2 linked regions of the Oryctolagus cuniculus genome follow. The protein of the gene in region 1 binds, or shares a complex with, the protein of each later gene. Links are inferred from orthologs where the notes say so. Each region holds a gene or a part of one and is shown on either strand. Other genes may lie near its edges.

Region 1 (4,736 bases):
TAGAGAGAGAGAGAGAGAGAGAGAGAGAGAGAGAGAGATGTCTTCTATCCACTGGTTCACTCCCCAAATGGCTGCAATGGTCAGGGCTGGGTCAAACTAGAGCCAGGAGTCAAGAGCTTCTTCCAGATCTCCCATTTGTGTGCAGAGGCCCGAGCACTTGTGCCATCCTCTGCTGCTTTCCCTTAGGGAGCTGGATTGGAAGTAAAGCAGCTAAGGCGTGAACTGGCACCAATATGGGATGCTGGTGCTGGCTTAACTCTGCTATGCCATAGAGCTGGCCCCTGCTAGTACTTTAAACCGCCGTTAACCTTCAGGTGCACCCTTTACCAATTAAATGTAAGTTACTTACCTTCTTCTTGTTGTTTTTAAGATTTATTTATTTGAAAGGCAGAGTGACAGGGGAAAAGGAGGGGGCACGGCAACAGATTGCTTCCATTCCTTGGTTTGTGCTCCAAGTGGTCATGACAACTGAGGCAAGGCCAGGTTGAAGCCAGGAGCCAGAAGCCCCATCTGGGCCTCTACCACATGGGTAGCAGGAGCTCAAAGTACTTTAACTATCATCAGTTGCTTCCCAGGGCATTGGTAGGGAGCAGGATTGGAAGCAGAGTAACTGGGAGTTGAACTGGCATTCTGATACGGGATCCAGGCATCCCAAGTGGTGGCTTAACCCACTGTGCCACAGCACCTGCTTCTCCTCACCTTTTTTAAACCTACCTTGTCCTTTACTCTGGTTCTTTTCAATTGTTCTTTACTGAGGTTATATTTTCTCTCTCTCTTTCTTTTTGAAGATTTATTTATTTGAAAGGCAGAGTTACAGAGAAGCAGAGGCAGAGAGAGAGAGAGAGAGAGAGAGAGAGGTCTTCCATTCGCCGGTTCACTCCTCAGATGGCCACAATGGTCGGAGCTGGGCTGATCTGAAGCCAGGGTCCAGGAGCTTCTTCCAGGTCTCCCACGCAGGTGCAGGGCCCAAGGATTTGGGCCATCTTCTACTGCTTTCCCAGGCCATAGCAGAGAGCTGGATCAGAAGTGGAGCAGCTGAGACTCAAATTGGTGCCCATATGGGATGCTGGCACTGAATGCAGTGGCCTTACCTGCTATACCACAGTGTTGGCCTCTGAGGTTATATTTTCAGATTCCCTCTCATTCCTTGTAATCTTTGAAGGTCTTTTTCAAATACTAACTCTGCTATGACGTGTCACTACTCCAAACATTCAGTTCAGAGGTAAACTCTTCTTCCTCTGTGTCCTGTTTCTGTAATGCTTTGAGTGCATATTAATGGCACTTACACATATTTTGGCCTTTATCAGTGTGGTTAATTTCTGTTAACTACTTTTGCATCAGGGAATCTGAATTCTGTTTAATGCCATTAAAAATAATCACATTATTCTGAGATTATATGTGCTGAATTCTTATTTTGTGTTCCACAGATTCCATGCAATGGAAAAGCAGCTGATCGCATCCATCAGGATGGAATTCACATCCTTGTGAATATGAATGGTTATACCAAGGGTGCACGAAATGAGCTCTTTGCTCTTAGACCAGCTCCTATTCAGGTAAAGGAATTAGTCACTCGGGATGTATCTTGGACTACAAAGATAGTGATGTATTTTTTTCCCTTAGGCTAACAGATACATGAAATAGTAGAGCAGACCTAGTTATGTTTTAGAAACTACAGTTCTTGAAATGTACAGGGACACATAATTTTGAGTGCAGAACACAGTGCCTCTGGATACATGCATATGTACCCGTATGGAGACATGCAATTCATGGTTGAATTATACAAATTTGAAAAACATTTTGGCACTTAGAAGATTAGTCTAAAATACTACTTTATTGCTCTTGGTTAAAGAAGTTAATCCTAATTGTTAATTTATTTAAATTTGGAACAATTTTTAAGGTTTATTTATATTTATTTATTTATTTTTGCCAGGCAGTTAGATAGAGAGAGAGAGACAGAGAGTTATAGACAGTGTGAGAGAGTTATAGACAGTGAGAGAGAGACAGAAAGGTCTTCCTTCCGTTGGCTCACTCCCCTAATGGCCACTACGGCCGGCGCTGCCAGGAGCCAGGTACTTCATCCTGGTCTCCCATGTGGGTGCAGGGCCCAAGCACTTGGACCATCCTCCGCTGCCCTCTTGGGCCACAGCAGAGAGCTAGACTGGAAGAGGAGCAACTGGGACTAGTACCCGGCGCCCCAACTGGGACTAGAACCTGGGGTGTTGGCGCCACAGGTGGAGGATTTGCCAAGTGAGCCACAGCGCCGGCCAAGGTTTATTTATTTGAAAGGCTGAGTTAAAGAGAACAGAGACAGATCTTTCATCTGCTGGTCCACTCCCCAAATGGCCTCAATGGCTGGAGCTGGGCCAGGCTGGAGCCAGGGGCTTCATCCAGGTCTCCCACTTTAGTGGCAGGGCCACTTGGGTGGGTGGCTTTTCCAGGTACATTAGCAGGGAGTTGGATTGGAACTGGAATAGCTGAGATTCCAAGTGGCAGTGGCTTAATCTACTGGCCAGCCCCTAAATTTGGAACCTTTTAATGAGTGTTCTTATGTTTTTTTTAAACACTTTATTGAGGTGTGATGCATGTACAAAAGAGTCTATCCATCTTTAATGCGTACAGTTTGTTGAATTAAGAAAGAAGTATACCGATGAAGTTTCTTAATCAGTTTCTGGTCTTTCTCTCTTTTAAAGGCGATGTGGCTGGGATACCCTGGGACTAGCGGTGCACTTTTCATGGATTATATAATCACTGATCAGGAAACATCACCAGCAGAGGTTGCTGAGCAGTATTCTGAGAAATTGGCTTATATGCCCCATACTTTCTTTATTGGTGATCATGCTAATATGTTCCCTCACTTGAAGGTATGTAGAAAACTGCCGAGGGGCTGGGATTCAAAGAATTGTCATCATGTATTTCCTTCTTGTTGCTCATATGCACCCTGAGACATGTCTGAAACGTTTTTTTCCATTAGAAAAAAGCAGTCATTGATTTTAAGTCCAATGGGCACATTTACGACAATCGGATAGTTCTGAATGGCATCGACCTCAAAGCATTTCTTGATAGTCTACCAGATGTGAAAATTGTGAAGGTAAGAATCTCGTCAGTGTTACCATTGAAATAATGATAATTGCATTTGAGATCTTTCCTTAATGTATTTTGTATCCTTTTGTGTTTTTAGATGAAATGTCCTGATGGAGGAGACAATGCAGATAGCAGTAACACGGCTCTTAATATGCCTGTCATTCCTATGAACACTATTGCCGAAGCAGTTATTGAAATGATAAATAGAGGACAGATTCAGATAACGATTAATGGATTTAGTATTAGCAATGGCTTGGCAACCACACAGGTGAGAAAAGAATAATAGTCTATTACATGTGCTACCAAGCATGCGTTTATCTTCTTTAACCCTCACAGTTAACTCTAGGAGGGAAGCATTATTATCCTCATTTTACAGATGAGGATGTGAGTTCAGTGGAAATTGGTGTCCTTGTAGGTTTGAATTTAAAAGTCTCTTGTATTCAGCCAGCAGGTTGCTGAGAGAGAGTTTACTGTGTTAATATCTTGTTATTCCCTGCCTGTGGCTATGCTCTCTATCATATGGTGAAATGTGTGTCCTTTTCCTGGGCTAAATTGTACTTACACTTTACATTCAGACAGCTCCTCTCAATAATCTGTTCCTGTACTTTAGGTTTTACCTCTTCAGCCCTACTCCATTGATAACCTCCCTGTTGTGTTTTTGTAATATTTGAGATATTCAACAGAAGACATTATCTCTGTGTCCTCCAGTGAATTGAATTACTCTAGGGCATGTGTGTTAACCACAATAATGTAATATGCACTCAACAAATAATGTATTGCATGCTTGAATAAATGAGTATGCACCTCTGTTAAGAGAGTGTGAGGCTAGGATCCCAGACCTCTTAGGAGTTAACAGTTTCGTTGAAATGGCTGAACCTGCCTAGAATAGTTAAATAACAGCAATAACAGCATAAGGCAGTACTCGCAAGTGTGGGTTTGCAAGATAAGGTAGAAGCTCAGAAATGCTGATGATCAATGTGGGGAGAGACAGTTGCGAGAGGAGACCATTTGGAGGGATAATTTCAGTTTAGCGATGCAATTTAGAAAAGGAATATTTCATTCATGAGAAAAAGAGTGAGCAAAAGCTTGCTGTTGAATTATTAATAGGGTACTGGGAAATTTGGTTAGAGCAAGAAGTTTCAGGGCTGGTGCAGTGGCTCACTTGGTTAATACTCTCCAGATCCCATATGGGCACTGGGCTCTAGTCCCAGTTGCTCCTCTTCCAGTCCAGCTCTCTGCTGTGGCCCAGGAAGGCAGTGGAGGATGGCCCAAGTGCTTGGGCCCTGCACCCCATGGGAGACCAGGAGAAGCACCTGGCTCCTGGCTTCAGATTGGCGCAGTGCCAGCCGTAGTGGCCATTTGGGGAGTGAACCAACAGAAGGAAGACCTTTCTGTCTCTCTCTCTCTCACTGTCTGTAACTCTACCTGTCAAATAAATTAAAGTATGATGGCATTGCTTCATCAAACAAATTACCAATGAATGAATTACCTTGAAAGTTTTATAGTGCAGTCCTCAAATTAAGGCAATGTTGCAGCCATTTCCTTTTTTTTAAAGATTTTATTTATTTGAGAGGTAGAGTTACAGACAATAAGAGGGAGAAGAGACAGAGAGAAAGGTCTTCCACCCTCTTGTTAACTCCCCAAATGGCCACAAT
Region 2 (4,641 bases), on another chromosome or scaffold:
CTCTCTCTCTCTCTCTCTCTCTCTGCCTCTCCTTCTCTCTCTCTGTAATTCTGCCTTTCAAATAAATAAATCTTTTAAAAAGGGGGGGAGTAAGTGGGGCTGGCGCTGTGGTGTAGCAGGTAAAGCCGCCGCCTGCAGTGCTGGCATCCCATGTGGGCGCCAGTTCAAGTCCCAGCTGCTCCACTTCTGATCCAGCTCTCTGCTGTGGCCTGGGAAAGCAGTGGACGATGGCCCAAGTCCTTGGGGCCCTGCACCCACATGGAAGACCCGGAAGAAGTTCCCGGCTCCTGGCCATCTGGGGAGTGAACCAGCAGTGGAAGACTTTCCTCTACCTCTCTGCTTCTGCCTCTCTGTAACTCTGCCTTTCAAATAAATAAATAAGGGGGGGGGGGGGGGGGCAGGTGGCCGCAGGTGCCAGGAGACGTGGGGCAGGCAGGGGATGGGCCGACTGGGAAGAGCCGGGCAGGCAGGGCGCAGGGGCGCAGGCACGTTTGCTGACTGAGTCCAGAGTCGGCCTCAGTCTTCCTCACTCTGCTTGCCCACGCCTGCTCTGGGCACCCACTGGATTTAGGAAAATCGAGGTCACCCTCTCATGGCTCCCACGTCCCACACTCTTCACAAACTCTGCTGAGCAGCACCCACACACCCCGCCCCCAAGACCCGTCCCCTCGTGTCCCACAGGTCCATCAGGGCCTCAGCCAGCTCCAAGCCCCTCCCCTCCACCGCCAGGCCTGCAGGGAGGTCTCAGGAGGTGAGGCCTCTGGGCAGGAGACAGCCTGCTCCCGCCGTCTGCGCGGCCGGCCTGCGGACCCCAGGACACTCGCCAGGACCCGGCCTTGCTCCACGGCCTCCAGAACCGGCAGTGCTCGGCTCGAGCCGCCCACCTATTAACTGTGCTCCCTCTGCCCTCTGGGGACCTCCAGCTGGGGGACCTTCCCCCACTCCCAGCCCCTGCCCACCGTCCCACGCCTCCCGCCTTCCTGCCGCTGTCTGCCCTCAGCATGCCAGCTGCGGGCCGCCCAGGACACGTGCTGCCGGCCGCAGGAGACCCAGGCAGGCAGCCCCTCCAACCGCGCTGTCGGGAAGCACACTTGGCCTAAAGGGGCCCAACTGACCCCTTCTCCACTCAAGGTCAAGGCCGGCAGAGCCACAGGGCTCCAAGCCCCAGATGCCCGACGGGGCCACTCCTGCGCTAGTGCTTGGCCTTGGCTCCCTGCCCCCGGCTGCCTGTGCCGTCGGGGAGCGCCCTACCTGCGTGGGGTCCTGGAAGGCAAACACCGTGGGCACGGCGTTGTGTTTCAGGTTCTTGCGGTTCCCGAAGGCGCTGAAGCACTCCGGGCTGAAGTGCTCGGAGCAGATGACCGTGTGCTTTTTGGGCTTGAAGTTGGCCCGGCCGATGTTGAGCACCCATTCTTTCAGCAGCTCGGGGCGGCTGAACGGGAACCTAGAAGGGCGAGCGGGCACGTGAGCGAGCTCAGCGCCTGGGGAGCCCGCTGGGCGCGCAGTCACCTCCCTCTGTGCAATCACATCTTGAGGGCTGGTGCTGTGGCACAGCGGCTAAAGCCGCCGCCTGCACTGCCAGCATCCCATATGAGCGCCGGTTCACGCCCCGGCTGCTCCACTACCGATCCAGCTCTGCTATGACGTGGAAAAGCAGCAGAAGATGGCCCAAGTCCTTGGGCCCCTGCACCCGCGCGGGAGAAGCTCCTGTCGCAGCCATTTGGACAATGGACCAGCAGATGGAAGACCTCCCTCTCTCTGCCTCTCTGTAACTTTGCCTTTCAAATAAATTAAAAAAAAAAATCACAACTGATTTCTGGAAGCTTCCGTCATGACTCTTCATGGCATCCTAATAAAGCAAACCGACCATGAAAACGGCCAACATCCCGAGGCCCTGTTACCACTGGCCGCCTGGGGTCAGCAAGACCACCGCTCCCAAGCAGGCAGGAACCGACCACGTGGGCGGCATCAGCTGACAGGAAGTGCTGGGGGGACAGGGAGGGCCACCTGAAGAGATCGCGCTTAGCCAGCAGAGGACACAGCAGGAGGGCGTGGGGGCCAGGGCTGAGCTGCAGGAGGGCACCAGGCGGTCACAGCAGGTGTCAGCGGGAGGCGGGGAGCCCAGGACAGTTCAGAGTGGGGTTTGCCTCGGGATCAGCCACGCGTGGCACAGCAGGGGAAGCCATCGCCTGCGAGACCGTCCTCCCAGACCGGAGTCCACGTCTGATCCAGCTCCCTGCTACGGCGCCTGGGAAGGCAGCAGAGGACCGTCCAAGTGCCTGGGCCCCTGCACCCACGCGGGAGACTCCGATGGGGTCCCAGGTCCTGGCTTCCGCCCGGCCTAGCTGTGTCTGTTGAGGCCGTTTAGGAAGTGAACCAGGGATGGAGTCTGATCTCTAACTCCGGTTTCAAGGAAATACATAGGTCTTAAAAAAAAAAATCAAGGTACTTCTGGATTACCCAAGTGCAGGGCAGCAGGTGGACACAGGGATGGCTCCTGGGGGCTGTGTGAAGGCCGGCCCTCGGAAACCCACGCACCCGGGCAGGAGGGAACGCGGCCCACACCCTCAGTACCCGCACTGGACGTGCAGGAAGCAAGCCGGCAAAGAGCTGACTGTCCGAGAAGCCCAGCGGGCAATCGAGGGATGGGCGCCGTCCAGCGGCCCAGAGAGGCCAAGGTGAGCACGGGGCCTGGCCTGCGGCTCAACAGCCCGCATCAGAGTCCACAACAGCCCACTTCTGACCCAGCTCCCTGCTGTGACCTGGGAAAGCAGCGGGAGGTGGCCCAGGTGCCTGGGGCCCTGCACCCACGTGGGAGCCCAGGGAGCTCCTGATTCATCCTGGCCCAGCCCAGGCTGTTGTGGCCATTTGGGGAGTGAACCAATGGACAGAAGATTCCGCGCGCTCTCTCTCTTCAAAATAAATAACGAATGAATTAAAAAAAAAAAAAAAAAAGGCAGCTCCATGCCCGGGTGAATGCCCAGGGCAGCGTCTGAGGCGGCCGGACAGGGAGCTGCCCCAATGCCCTCAGCGGGGAGGTGGGCATGCAGCGGGCGGGGCCAGCCAGGATCTGGTTCCGCGGCCCCCGCCGGCTGCCTGGCACGAAAGCGTGGAGCGAGCAGAGGGGGTGCGCACCCCCGGGCCGGCCCGCACAGACGGGACGAGGGGCGGCCCCCAGGTCTCCCCCCTCCCCCGGCTGCCCGAGTCCCTGAGCTCCCGGGTGCCCCGGGCCAGGTGCACGCGGCGCCCCCGCCCCGTGCGCCCCCTCCCCGCGCCCCCTCACCGGTGGAAGGTGAGCTGTTTCCTACAATTTCCATATCGGTTACAGCACAGCCGGGCTGCGCAGGACTTGGGCATCTCCGCCACTAGGCCCAGCTGCCCCCAACAAAGATGGCGGCGCGGCAGGCGGGGGCGGGGCCTGCGGGGTGGCGGGAGGGGGGCGGGACGGGCGCGGGGCCGCGGGGCTCGGGCCGGGTCTGGGGGCTCCCGGCCCCCGCACCCTCAGAGCCTGGCGCTGCCGGGGTCCAGGCTGAGACCCCTGCCCATCGCCCCTCCCCCAGCGCGGGTATGGCTCGGAGGTGGGCGGTGGTCTCCCCTCTCTGCATCGTGTGCGCTGGGCGCTCACCTCCCGGCCCGGCCCCGCGCCCTCGGCCCGGCCCCGCGCCCTCGCAGAGCCTGGCGCTGCGGGGAGGGAGGGGGCCGGCTGAGACCCCTGCCCATCGCCCCTCCCCCAGCGCGGGTATGGCTCAGAGATGGGCAGTGGTCTCGCCTCTCTGCATCACGCGCCCTGGACCGCTCACCTCCCGGCCCGGCCCCGCGCCCTCGAAGAGCCTGGCGCTGCGGGGAGGGAGGGGGCCGGCCGAGACCCCTGCCCATCGCCCCTCCCCCCGCGCGGTAAGGCTGGGCTGGGAGGTGGGTGGTGGTCTCGCCTCTCTGCATAGCGCGCGCTAGGCGCTCACCTCCCCTACTGGCCCAGCCCCGGCCCCTCCGCGCGGCACGGGGAGCCCCCCATGCCCTCTGCACGGAACACACAGGCCGGCGCCGCGCTCAAAGGAGAACCATCTTTATTTACAAATGTACAGTTTCACAGAAACAGCTTGGTTTATGCAGACGGACACCACACGGGACCACGGCCGGGACCCTGCACAAAGCAGCTGACCACACAAGCCCAGCGGGCCCCAGCCCTGGCGCGGCTCTGCCACAGACCAGGAGGAAGCGGGGGACCCCATGGAGCCCCTCCGAGGCGACACCAGCGCGGCCCGGCTCCAGGCTCTTAAATGCACTTCTAAAAGCTCAAGTTTAAAACAGAAACGACTTTGGAACTTGGGCTGGGCAGGCGCGGCCGGGCAGCTCTTTGGCTCTGGGCTGGGGAGCCCCCGACAAACACGGCTTCACCACTGTTTCGCTACTTGTTGACAGAAGCATTAAAACACAGAGACAGACCCGGCCCGACAGGAGAGATGCGACAACAGCAAACTATGTATCCGCCCTGGAGTTTCGGGAGAGAACTCTGCTGGCCCGAGACCCCCGCCCCGCTACAAGCACACTTGGGCACTACTCCCTCTCCGCCTTCCAGGGAACAAGGCTCGTGGAAACACTTCACAAACAGGTGCCCAGACCAGCTGTGTCCCAGAGCCCCGG

The links.
Region 2: OGT (region 1) and THAP3 share a complex: the UniProt entries of both Homo sapiens proteins name them as parts of the THAP1/THAP3-HCFC1-OGT complex. The link is inferred for Oryctolagus cuniculus from reciprocal best matches to the Homo sapiens genes OGT and THAP3.

The regions. Positions count from the first base shown.
Region 1 is NC_091453.1:51,360,178-51,364,913, forward strand, and holds part of OGT (UDP-N-acetylglucosamine--peptide N-acetylglucosaminyltransferase 110 kDa subunit), read left to right. Parts: intron 1-1,427; coding exon 1,428-1,553; intron 1,554-2,690; coding exon 2,691-2,861; intron 2,862-2,971; coding exon 2,972-3,088; intron 3,089-3,178; coding exon 3,179-3,349; intron 3,350-4,736. UniProt on the Homo sapiens protein: Catalyzes the transfer of a single N-acetylglucosamine from UDP-GlcNAc to a serine or threonine residue in cytoplasmic and nuclear proteins resulting in their modification with a beta-linked N-acetylglucosamine (O-GlcNAc).
Region 2 is NC_091438.1:160,922,824-160,927,464, forward strand, and holds the start of THAP3 (THAP domain-containing protein 3), read right to left. Parts: upstream 3,419-4,641; 5' UTR 3,358-3,418; coding exon 3,284-3,357; intron 1,445-3,283; coding exon 1,252-1,444; coding exon of another isoform or gene 1,250-1,251; intron 1-1,249. UniProt on the Homo sapiens protein: Component of a THAP1/THAP3-HCFC1-OGT complex that is required for the regulation of the transcriptional activity of RRM1.